Schizosaccharomyces pombe: one gene and its partners. Changing the gene in region 1 together with any one later gene gives a genetic interaction. Each region holds a gene or a part of one and is shown in the gene's direction. Other genes may lie near its edges.

Region 1 (3,081 bases):
TATCACTATATGTCACATGTTCTAATTATATATAGTACCATGTATGATACGATATTGAGATTGATCTTAATGATAATCTATCAAGATCTATATTATCTGAATAATATAAATAGAGCTACTGCTGAACCTCGTTCCTCAGTTCAGTTATAAGCTATATTAGTGATAGGTAACATTATAACTCAGTTAATACAATACCTATACTCAGTTGCTACTTATACAACCTGTGTATTGTAATATAATAGATCACAAGGAAAACTCACCGCAGTTCTACGTATCCTTAAATCAGATACCAAACTGCGTAGCTTACATTTGAAGGGATTTAACAACATAATGGAATGTAGTTGACAGATGTGACGTTGTATATCTTTGAACAGGTATACAGAGATTTACGGATACCCAGACGATAAATAACGACCGTTGGGGTTAGCAGTTTTATTCTCATCAAATTAAGAAAATGTGTGTGCAAGGTAGTTATTGTTTTTATAAGGTTTTCTAAATTTCAATACTTTTAGTAGTCTCATCTTGTAGCAATCTGATCAGAAAGACATTATCATCTTTCGCATTCTGAAAAACATGAAATAGAATGTCAAGTGAATTTGAGTAAAGAACCGCACGTATTGATGTGTTCGATTTCAGCAACGTACTTGATTTTAGAAGCTCCATTATATGATTTTAGTTTAGCTAGTTAGTTTTATCTCCAGAAAATTGACAGGTATTCAATATTTACTGATTTATTCATAGTGCGCTAAATGCATCTAAGTACTGTGCTGTAATTATGTTCATTATACCCAGTATATCAGCATCTAGCAGCAAATATACATTTATGTAAATACATTTACATTTCAAATAGTAGCATCTCCAAATCGTCACAAATTGTAGAATTTACATATCTTTTTTTAAAATACTGAACGTTCCTTAATTTGATGAAATCACTTCGTCTACATTTCTATTATGTGACAATATTTGTAGGTAGCAAATATTCAAATTGATTAAAAGATTTTTTGAAATCGAAAAAAATTGTGAGTTTAATCATACCTTTCTGAAAGAAATATTTCAATTTTTTTTAAAAAAATTTGAAGGGTCTGACAAGCCTACCTCATTTTACATTTACTTTCATTTAATTATTTTTTTAAACCTGACATTAAAACAAAGTAACTCGATATAACCCTGAAAAATAATAATCAATTAAAATAAATGAGCAATCAATAAAAAAGTTATTATGTCTTTAGGTTGCAAACTTTTAAGCTGTTTTGTAATCTGAAAATCATATATGTTATAATATAAAGTAGTATATTAACAAAATCCAGTCTTTATAGCATCTGGTACCTTTTGCAAACAAAAGTTATTTAACAAGTTTAGAGTGCAGAAAATCGCAAAACTGCTTAGAGAATTGACGCAATCATAAAAACATAGAATGAAATCGCCTCGAGGAAAAATCACAATTTGATCAGTTTGCACACTCATTAAATCAAAATTATCTTTTCTACGAAATTGTGCTCAAAAACATTGAACATAGTGATTTAATACCTTCCTATTTTGTATGTTATTGTTGGTTAGTGTCAATAAGTTGATGTATTTGTTTATCCCATAATATGTAAACAAATGTCCATAGCTAGAGCTTATAAATAATTTATGCCAGCACTCAAACTTTTGACAAACAACAAACATTGGAAATATTTAAAAGTAAAGTATATTATTTTAAAACACTTAGCTGTTCGTCTTGTCTTCTATTAATATCCGTTGTGCAATTCTTCTGGATCAGAAAGCTAAAGCAGAGACGAGGAAAAAGGAATTTGGGAAAAAGCTGTCATTTACAATTTATCAACCTAAAGGAAGAGAACGTATAAGAGGAATTTATTTAAAACGTTCCTCGACTAGCTTATTTACTCGAATCCTACTTGTCTTCTTTTCCCTTAATCACAAATACCTTCAATCATGATCATTATTGACGGTAAGAATTATGCTTGGTAAGACTTTTTGTATGGTTATAAGATAAAATTTTTAACACTTACTCTAGTGTTGTATGCCTTCGAGGTCATCGAGGCTCATCCTGCCAGCATCAAGAAAGGGCACTGATAGAAGTTCGAACTAGAGGAAGGCCGTTACTATGGTATGTCACATTGATCAGAAAAAAAATATTAACTTGAAATTCAGCAAAAAATGCAGAGCCATAAAACAACAACTTAAGAGTAATTTAAAATGCGTTTGTCATTTGCAGCCTTTTCTACCCTTCGCCAATGAGTATCAGGAGTTATTAAATTTCACTCAGAAAAACCCAATATTGGCTAGCCTTTTTTTGTTTTCAACCGACAAAGATATTATGAATTCTTCTTTAAATCCTGCAAGTCAAGCCTACACCTTCGATTTAGGAAGAACACTACCCATCAGTGAAGATATATTAGGATATAGGAAACCTCTTTCACTAACAGATGCTTCTAATCGCATTGATGCAAGTCAATTGAATGAAAAAGAAAACGATTCTTTTACCATAAACCAAGAGGCCGATATTTTCAATTTCGCAAAGTACTTACATTCCAAAGACGATATATCCGGAATCCCTTGAATTCACAACTTTCGTTATTATTCCAAATAGCGACAAATGAAGGTTATTGTCATATCATATGTATAAGTACTCTCACATAAAGTATTCAATCATAAAAAGATGAAGTAATTTGAATGTTTTGGTCGTCTAAAAAGGTGCATATAACATTAGAGAAATCTATGTATTCAAATTTACTGGGGATCAAACACCATTTCAAGGATTTCCCATGGGAAGTGAAATTTAGAATAGTTGTGTATTGAATAGCGTCAATATTACTCTGATAAAGTTTTCACGGGTTTTTCTTTTCTTTTTCCACATTTAATTTAGCCTGGCAGTTGATAACTTTCGACGATGATTCAGGCTCGGAATGAGGAATAACAGAAGGGTTTTCTTTTAATTTAATCACAGAATCCTTTGAAATGAGGTCCTCCTGAGGAAGTAAATTGGACTTCCGGACAGAAGGGCTAGCCATCAATAAAGCTGAATCCTCTTCATCAACATTTTTCGTTTGACGTGTTGAAACTTCAGGGGTAACAAGA
Region 2 (3,399 bases), 610 kb from region 1:
TTATTATAAGGACTCCTTAGTAAACGATCCATCGGTTAATTGTTCTGTCTTTAAGAAATAGTCATTCTCCCAATCCTCGAATACTTTATTTGTGATCATTTCTTCTTTTTGTTTGTTAATTTCTCTAAACAAAACACTTGTAAAATAAATTGTTCGTTAATATCTTGTTCTGTTTATTTCATTGTATAAAAATAATTAACAAAATCAATGAATCAAACCTTGTTATAACAATATAACAATAATGAATGATATTACTGTTTCTTGTGCATTTGTTTCAGAAGTCAAAGTTTTAGATCCAGCTAGAGGGAATAGTCTATTGAGCTTATGCATTCAAATTTGTTATTTATCAGAATTTAAATTAGAAAAACACTTAAAGCGTTGTGCAGTTTGTGTGTAAAATTCGTGTGTTCAAAAATTTTTTCTTCGCTCTTTTTACTATAAATAGAGGGCATGAACCCTTTAGAATAATTTGAAAGTTGCACCCATCGAATTTGATTCAGTCTGAGTCTCTTTTATAAGTTACATTGATTGCCGAATTGAATACGATGGGGAGAAAAAAACTCCTTTCTTAAAGTGTATTTCAGATTCTTTTTTCCTTTGAAATGCCCCGTGGAAAGGAAAAATATCTATTTTTCTTTAAAAATTAATTAATCAACTTTGTTAAAAATGATCCACTCAGAGAAGTAGAACTTTGTTGTAGCCTGAGAAGCCGTGAACTTCTGCTGTAGTTTTCATGATTCGTAATTGCAAATCATCTCGATAAGTGCTTTCAAACTTGTTATGTATATGTACATCTTCCTAATTGTTAACTGCAGAAGCCAAGCAAATAGTAAATAAAAAAGAAGGAGCCTACAGCACCCCGGATTCCCATGTTGTCTCCAACCATAGTACTAACGAGGCCCTCAGACGCTTAACTGCAGTGATCGGACGGGAACTGGTGTTTTCGCCTAGGTATGGCCGTAGACACACAGTTAGTAATTTAGTAATATATAATGTAAATCAGGAGTAGTTAATGTAGTCGATGAAATTCATTTGTGGAATGTAAATCCCGCTCAGTATATACTGACTATGTCCTCTAAGTTCATACATCCTTTTTGCACTCGAATTTATAAATAATAACGGTTGTGTATTTTCAAATTGAATTATTCAAAAAAACCCAAAAAAATTATTTAACAAAAAGGTCGATCCCGCCAGGAGTCGAACCTGGAATCTCTTGATCCGTAGTCAAGCGCCTTAACCATTGGGCCACGAGACCTTTTTGTTGAACACCTCTGATTTTAGTTTAAATTATAAGAAGAAATGACATTGCTTCAAAAAAACTAAGAGCTCTGATTTTCATCTCTTTCTAACAAACAATGCGAAATCCTTTTGGAAGTAGTATGTACATTCATTGTATGTGGTTCCCTGCCTCTTACCTTCAGACGTTTCGTAGTCGTTAATGAGTTAGGCATAATTAATTTGCGTTTTTATATCACATACTTCTTCATTTACCATTGACGTTACAATGAAGTAGCAATAGCAAACATATATATACTTTTAGTTAGAAAAAATATATATATATAAACACAGTAGCACGCTTGTGCAGAATATAAGAGCTACATGTAAACACGGATGATGATTGTAGGTCAATCTTCGGAACAAGAGGGCCTTGAAGTTATCCAGAATGGATATCTCTTCTCAAATTAGAAACAATACTTCTTCTGAACATACCGCTGAAATGTCCCCTAGTCCACGAAATTCTGTGAGCAGAAGAAAAAACCGAACGGAGTCATTCTTATCTACTTAATAATTTTTTCGTTTTCAAATTAAGCTTCAAAAAAAAATAGCTCTCAAATTACTTGGTAGTTCCTTTCTGTCCTTGTTTGTGTTGTCTTTCGCTGGCTACTTTCAAACCACTAGACAATATTTTACAAAAGCATTCCAATTGATCTAATTTTCACATTCTAAAGTTTAAAGAATAACTTGGCATAGTTATTGTTTACTCTGGCATATATCGGTTGTTTAATTTTCTCATCAATACCAATACTACTTTGCAAACTCGAATTCTCAACTGTGACCATTGCTGAGCTTATTTCTTCTATTTTAGTGATTTAGCTTTAATATTTTCAATTGAATTGCTGTTATAATCAATTTGAGATACTGAACAAGACATTGCATTTGTTTATACTTGATGTCTTGGGTGCAGCTACGTGGCCACAGGTTTCATTTTATACAGGCTAGCTTCGACGCAGAAAGTAATGAGGCTGTACAAGTCATTCATATTACAGACCTAGTGCGTGTTTGGTCCTGTACATGTAGCCGCAATCAAATCGTCAATCAGGCAGAGGTAAGATTAGTTAACAACTACATTGCTACTATGCTTTCAGGGGAAAAGCAGTTATAAATGCAACCAAATTAACACCTTTCTCTCAACCAAGAGTTATATTAACTTTTAAACAGAGCGAAAGATGTCCTATCGATCCATTTCAAACGTTTGAAACGTTAGTCGATGTACTGGCTGAAGTGCTGGTGAATGTTTCTTCTGAAAGTAGAATTCAACTACGAGGCTCAAATGACGAGGGATCTTTAAAAATTTTCTGTACCTCAAAAATAGCTAAAGATATTTTCTTAGAATGGAATTGGACCCTTTGGCTTACTCCACCAGAGACGATTGCCAAGATGGTATGGTTTCCTCTTATCAATCATCACTTATTCGAGTCAGAAACCGACACTAGTCCAGGATCGTTAATGTCCATTATTCGTGATCAAAAGTCTTTATTGAATGACAAGACTTGGTTCAAGGAAGCATTAAATGAAAGATCCTCGTCTTCCAATCCTTCCACACCAAGAAAACGTTCAGCATTTGCAGATATTATTTCTCCAAAACGACCTCGTACTCGTTATGATTTTGTTTAAAAAAATCTAATGGTATATTGAACTATGAAGATATCTATTTAACTCGATCACATGTTTAACTACAGCGTTTTGTACAATTTACCTCAGGATGAAGAGACTATGAAAACGTATATACTAATCAGAAAGAGATGTCCGTTCTCTATTGGAGACACATAGAGGGTTTTCCATAGACTTTAAAAAAGTTTACAGAATTGGCCTCTATATGTACTATGACTTACGGTTTATTCTAGCAACACATTGTAACCCTACGGGAATGGAACTTCCGTAAAACACGGTACATTCTAACCCTTCTTCTTTGGATAAGAAGATGTAAAGTTATTAGAAGGTTGCAATAATATAAAATAAAGTTTCAAAGAGTTTTATGTAGCTTAACTCATCTCATATGATTATATTTGACAATATTATAGTTTTTCTTGTAAGGTCCATAAGATAGAACATTCATTTCATCCTTATAACAAATCAAAAATAAGTCCCAAGTTACGACACATCCCAAGGTTAGTTATT
Region 3 (5,702 bases), on another chromosome or scaffold:
AGTTCTAGCTCGAAATAAAGGTTGGAACTGATGGTATATACTATTGCAAGGAATCTTTAGATACATTGGATCTTTCAACCTGTCCTTGAGTGGGTAGTAGGTGGGAGCAGAAATTAACGCGCAAAAGCAATAAGTAAAAAGAAAGTTATATCAAGTTTTGATCAAGGCAAGTATAAAAAAGAATGAATTAAAAATTAGACAACGTGAATTTGTTAGTCATTTCTCGAAGGGCTTCTGAGGTATACCTCGCATCGTTGCCGGCATTGTGAAGACAAAAAGCTCGGATGTTCAAGTGAGTGAGCATTTTAGCAAGAGAGATGTTGTTGGAATTTGAAATTTCTTTGAGGAATAAACTTTGAAAGAATGAGAAAACGTTCTGCGTATCAAGAACCGTGACATCCTTTGGAATAGGTATTCCAAGGACGTTTGCATACTTTATTTCGTTTTCCACTCCGTGTCCTACTAGATGTAGATTTGGTGTTTTCAAAATTTTTTTCAGAATACTTATAAACGCAATTTTTGTCACAATCTTGGAGTCACCAAATTGAAAGTTATCGGCTTCATCTGGAACAAATCGACCGTTGCGTAGATGTAGAAAATTCTTAATCCTGTAGTGGTGGTAGTCCCATTCTCCATTAATTCTCATCGTAATCCCAGCCTCAGTTATGATTTTCTGGTTGAATTCATATGCCTCAAAATCAATTACCAAAAAGTTACAACTTGGGTTGGAAACGGCTTGAAATGCTACAAGAGCTTCACCTTTGGCTCTAATTAATTTCTTTTCAGCTCTTTGAATTGCTGCACGTCGCTTCCGCTCTTTCCTTTCTGCTTTAACTTCTTCTGGCGTCAACTTGTAACGAATCCGTTTTTGCTCATGCCGAGAAACATTTACAGCTTTTTTTGCTTGCAATCTGTTCATCTCAGAGATAGATCTTAAAATAAACGGAAAGGGGAATTCGTATGAAAGCAAGTACTAGTGATAACTTAGAAGAGGTAAACAAGTAGCTTCTAACTTCTCTAGCAATGGCATGTGTAATTTCAAAGTATATACTAGCAAATAATCCCAAATCCTTATGTTGCAAAAAATAATTATCGTTAATTTACTATGATTACTTTTTCAATTTATAAATGGATTTTGTTTTGTTAAATATCAATTATTCTTTGTTTACAATCAGAAAGTGTGTTTAAAATATATATTCCACTGTCAAATATCTTCGTTCAGTCATTTCCATCTATTCAAAAATTACAAATATAAGACATATTTCAAATTACCTGAAAAAGGCTTCAATTTTTAAAGCTACGTGATTTTTTACATCAAAAAATATTATTGAATTTAACAGGTGACTCTATCACGGATTTCACTTTGTTAAACAGCTTTTAGGAGGTTAGCATTTGTTAAAAAAAATTTTATTTTATTTTATTTTTTTTTTATTTCTTATTAATTGACTGAAGAAATACTCCGTCTCTTAATTTGATTATGAAATTTTTTTTTATTTTTGGGTATGGTTTCTTTTTTTTCTTTAATTGCAATTACAAAAGTAATTAAAATTATGTTAGTCTTTATGACTTCTCAATTGCCATCCTTTAATAAATAGATTAGTATCAACTTTTGAACGAATCTAATATTACAATTGCAAGTTTAGATCGATTTACTAAGCTCTTTCAGTACGATACAAAAAAACAAAAAAGGAAGCAAGAAGTATACTAAAAACCATACACTTGCAGATATTTGGTTGAGGAAGATAGAAAGCTATGTTTTTTGGATGTATAGTTTATACGCCCTTTATCAATTTTGAAACTGTAGCTTAGTATAGAATGAAGTAGTGTAGATATTTGAGCGAACGTCAAGACTATCAATTTTATTGATTTCCATGAATGGTTTAGAATTTTGCATTTAGTATAAATTATTTCATTTATTTTGTTGCCCCTAATATATCTCCTAGTTGCGCTCAGTGAATTTAACAATTGCATGCCTTAACTCTACTACCACCTCCATATTTTCACAAAGTATGGATTTAAAACCAAATATTAGAAGAAAGGAAAAGCGAAATTTATTAAAGGGAGAAGCTGCTTTAGAAAAAAAAGGCTCTATTGATAGAAAGACAAAAAATAAAGCATATCCGTCTACTACTCACGATCCTCATCAAAATGATGATTCCAACATTCCTGGATTAGGAAGTGGACTATTGGAAAGGATCAAAGATATTGTTCAAAGGCCAACAGATACCCAATTAAAAGGTCAAGATTCGAACCATAAGAAAGCCAGCTTGACTGAAACGAAGACCGAGAAAGCCAAGGTTAAACCGAAGGCAAAGAAGAAAAACTCGAAGGAAAAAATCTCTAAAAGTTCTAAGCAGGATGAACATAAAACCGACGTGCATAAAGAAAGTGTCTCGAAACTTTCCAAGAATTTGGAGTCCAGAAATAATCGAGATGAAAATTCCGCGAAACGAGAAAAAAACAATTCTCATCAAGTTGAAGCAGATACGAATAACGCCACTGAGATGGTATCATCCAATGCGAAAAAGTCAGTATACCCGTTGTACTACGACTCTGCAACGGTTAAAAAAGGATTAAAAAGTGGTACATTATTTAAAGGAACGCTTCGTATTCTTGAAAATCATCGTAGCGCTTTTGCTTGTATGGAAGATATACCTGATTTTTATGTTGATGGGCCAATTGCTAGAAATCGTGCTTTTCACAACGACGTTGTAATTGTGGAACCTGTGATGAATAATGACAGCCCCACTGAAAAATCGAATTTTTTACAGAATGGTGTCGAGAAAGTCAAAATAAAAGATCATGACGATGAGTTAGGTGGAGCAATGGAGCATTTGGAAAGATTAGAAATTAAAAGTGTTGCAAGCTTCAAAGGTGATAGCAGAACGAGAGCTCGTGTTGTCGCCATTGAGAAGAGAGCGGAAATTTCTAAAATTGTAGGGATTTTAAGAGCACCAGGTTGGTCATTAAAAAATGTAGAATATGTTTCCAAAAAATCCTCGTACGCGATTTTCATTCCAAAAGATAAACGTCTGCCCTTTATCACAATTCACAAAAATGATTTAAGCGATTTAAGTGGTGAAAATTGGATTGAAAATATTTTGAAACACCACGATCAGTTGTTTTCAGTTGAGATTACAAGGTGGAGTATTTACTCTCGTTACCCTATGGGTGTATTAGGTGAAAAGCTGGGAAATATTACTGACGTGGAGGCTTACACTAATGCGCTTTTGCTAGAAAATGGAATTAGTAGCTCTCCCTTCTCTGATGAGGTTTTAAACTGCTTGCCTCCTGATGATTGGATTATCTCACATGAGGAAATAAAAAAACGAAGAGATTTAAGAAATGAGTTAATTATTACCATTGATCCTGAAACAGCTCGTGACTTGGATGATGCTGTTTCCTGTCGCGCTCTTGACAATGGCACTTATGAAGTGGGTGTCCACATCGCTGATGTTACTCATTTTGTAAAACCAGATTCAGCATTGGACAAAGAGGCAGCTTCGCGGGCTACAACAGTATACCTTGTGCAAAAGGCTATTCCGATGCTTCCTCCTCTGTTGTGTGAACGACTTTGTTCATTAAATCCCAACGTTGAGCGTCTTGCATTTAGCGTTTTTTGGAAACTCGACTCCAATGGTAAGGAAATTGGTAAGCGTTGGTTTGGCAAAACAGTTATAAAGACATGTGCCAGACTTGCCTACAGTGAGGCTCAAGGTGTGATCGAAGGAAAGTCCTGGGATGATGCTGTAGGCAAACCGATAGGAGGTACGCATACTCCAAAAGATGTTGAAACGTCTATATTAACACTTTGCGAAATTTCGAGAAAGCTTCGCAAAGATCGATTTGCTAAGGGCGCTGTAGAGATTAACTCGACAGAACTCAAATTCCAATTAGATGAATATGGAATGCCGAATAAATGCGAGGTATATGAGCAAACCGATGCAAATCATCTCATCGAAGAGTTTATGCTTCTCGCCAATAGATCTGTTGCTGAACATATCAGTAAAAATTTCTCCAATAATTCCTTGCTTCGTCGCCATGCAAGTCCTAAAGAGAAACAAATTAATGAGTTTTGTCACTTTCTAAAAAGCATGAACTTCGATTTCGATGCATCGTCTTCAGCTGCATTTAATGCCTCTATGGTACGACTCAGAAGCACTTTTAATGAAGAATTGGTAGAATTATTTGAAAATATGGCAGTTCGCTCGTTAAATCGTGCTGAATACTTTTGTACTGGCGATTTCGGTGAGAAAACAGACTGGCACCATTACGCTCTTTCATTTAATCATTATACCCATTTTACTTCTCCGATTAGAAGATACCCTGACATTATTGTTCATCGTTTATTGGAACGTAGCCTTAAGAACACATCCCCGGGTATTGACAAAAAAAATTGTTCGTTAGTGGCTGCACATTGTAATGAAAAGAAGGAGAAATCCACCACTGTGCAAGAAGATAGCCAGCAACTCTTTTTGTCTGTATATATTGCTGAGTATTGCAAAAAGCATGATAAGAAATCTATGCCAGTTCAAGCATTTGCGACTAGAATATCTGGAAATTCTATTGATGTCTATATCTCTGAATATGGAATATCCAACAGAGTAGACCTCAGTTCAGATGATAGAATTAAAAGTTTTATAGTTGCTCCCGATGACTCCTCTGTTAAAATTACGTTGTTTGATGATTCTCAAAAGACTATAGCTCTTACGGATCGTTTCCAAGTTTATTTATATTCTGATTACAGTCGTACATTTTTCAGTATTCGCTGTAGTCTAGTTTCTTTGAATTAAAGGCCTAGTGTTGTTTATGAATTTTTGACTGAAATATAACTTTGTTAATTTTGGGTCAGATTACCTTTTATTTATGATGCATGCCACCTATTGAATGGTTGTTCACGTTTATCCTACACATTTTAAAACGCTTATTATTATTACTATTATGTTTCATGGATTATGACAATTGAATGACTTTGTTATGCCCAGACGACTTATGTTTGATATATTTTTCTCATTCGTGAGAGAAACACAATTAAAATAAAAAATTTAACATCAATAAGAAATTTCTTTAGTTAACAAATTCACTTTGGCTGCAATTGTTGAATATTTTATTTATACCTATACATACAAGTAACAATAGACATTGTGACCTGAGTAAGGTACTCAGTTTTGTGCAGCAGCTTTTCCACTACTCATACCGAGGAGGATCTTGCCTCGATATGGATTTTTATAATCATGCTGCCAACATACTTTCAGATTTAAGTAAAAAAAAAGGATCAATTAAGCAATTAGCATTTAATTCAAAAAAACATGATCCAAAACGCACTTATGCTTTGGTTTGCGAAACTCTCAAATGTAAACAAGAATAGTAAAACTTTAATATAAACGATTTGACTAACTTTCTTCTTTTATATAGATAAACCTGTTTTGGATGAAATAATTGCGCGATCCGAGTTATTAGTTTTAGAGAAAAAGGTACAAATTAATGAAACGATAGTTGTTTCGTAATTTTTTGAAGCTAACCTGGTTATTGTAGTTAAAAGAAAATTTGGCTAGAGTCCTTGTCCATGATTTACTGATGTCAAAGCGAGGGTTATCCATTTCAAATGGTCCTATCAAGGAATGCATTCTTCGTCACAAGACACGCCTGAACGCCGAGTTTGTCAAACTCAAGGTGAAAAAAGGGGTTAAGAGCCATGAGGA

The links. A genetic interaction does not mean that the proteins touch.
Region 2: mutations in cuf2 (region 1) and xlf1 together harm fitness more than expected from each alone (negative genetic interaction), as found in Schizosaccharomyces pombe (one large-scale study listed by BioGRID).
Region 3: mutations in cuf2 (region 1) and dis32 together harm fitness less than expected from each alone (positive genetic interaction), as found in Schizosaccharomyces pombe (one large-scale study listed by BioGRID).

Annotation. Positions count from the first base shown.
Region 1 is NC_003421.2:1,530,191-1,533,271, forward strand, and holds cuf2 (Cu metalloregulatory transcription factor Cuf2), read left to right. Parts: upstream 1-1,935; coding exon 1,936-1,967; exon of another isoform or gene 1,968-2,017; coding exon 2,018-2,110; exon of another isoform or gene 2,111-2,154; coding exon 2,155-2,563; downstream 2,564-3,081. Other genes in the region: SPOM_SPCC584.03C (GTPase regulator), read right to left, coding at 2,832-3,081.
Region 2 is NC_003421.2:923,708-927,106, reverse strand, and holds xlf1 (XRCC4-like factor xlf1), read left to right. Parts: upstream 1-2,015; 5' UTR 2,016-2,170; coding exon 2,171-2,326; intron 2,327-2,439; coding exon 2,440-2,895; downstream 2,896-3,399.
Region 3 is NC_003424.3:4,270,388-4,276,089, reverse strand, and holds dis32 (3'-5'-exoribonuclease Dis32), read left to right. Parts: upstream 1-1,960; 5' UTR 1,961-2,009; coding exon 2,010-4,793; 3' UTR 4,794-5,198; downstream 5,199-5,702. Other genes in the region: SPOM_SPAC2C4.09 (uncharacterized protein), read right to left, coding at 1-66; SPOM_SPAC2C4.08 (uncharacterized protein), read right to left, coding at 188-919; rcm1 (rRNA methyltransferase), read left to right, coding at 5,219-5,354, 5,416-5,474, 5,536-5,702. UniProt on the Schizosaccharomyces pombe protein: 3'-5'-exoribonuclease that specifically recognizes RNAs polyuridylated at their 3' end and mediates their degradation.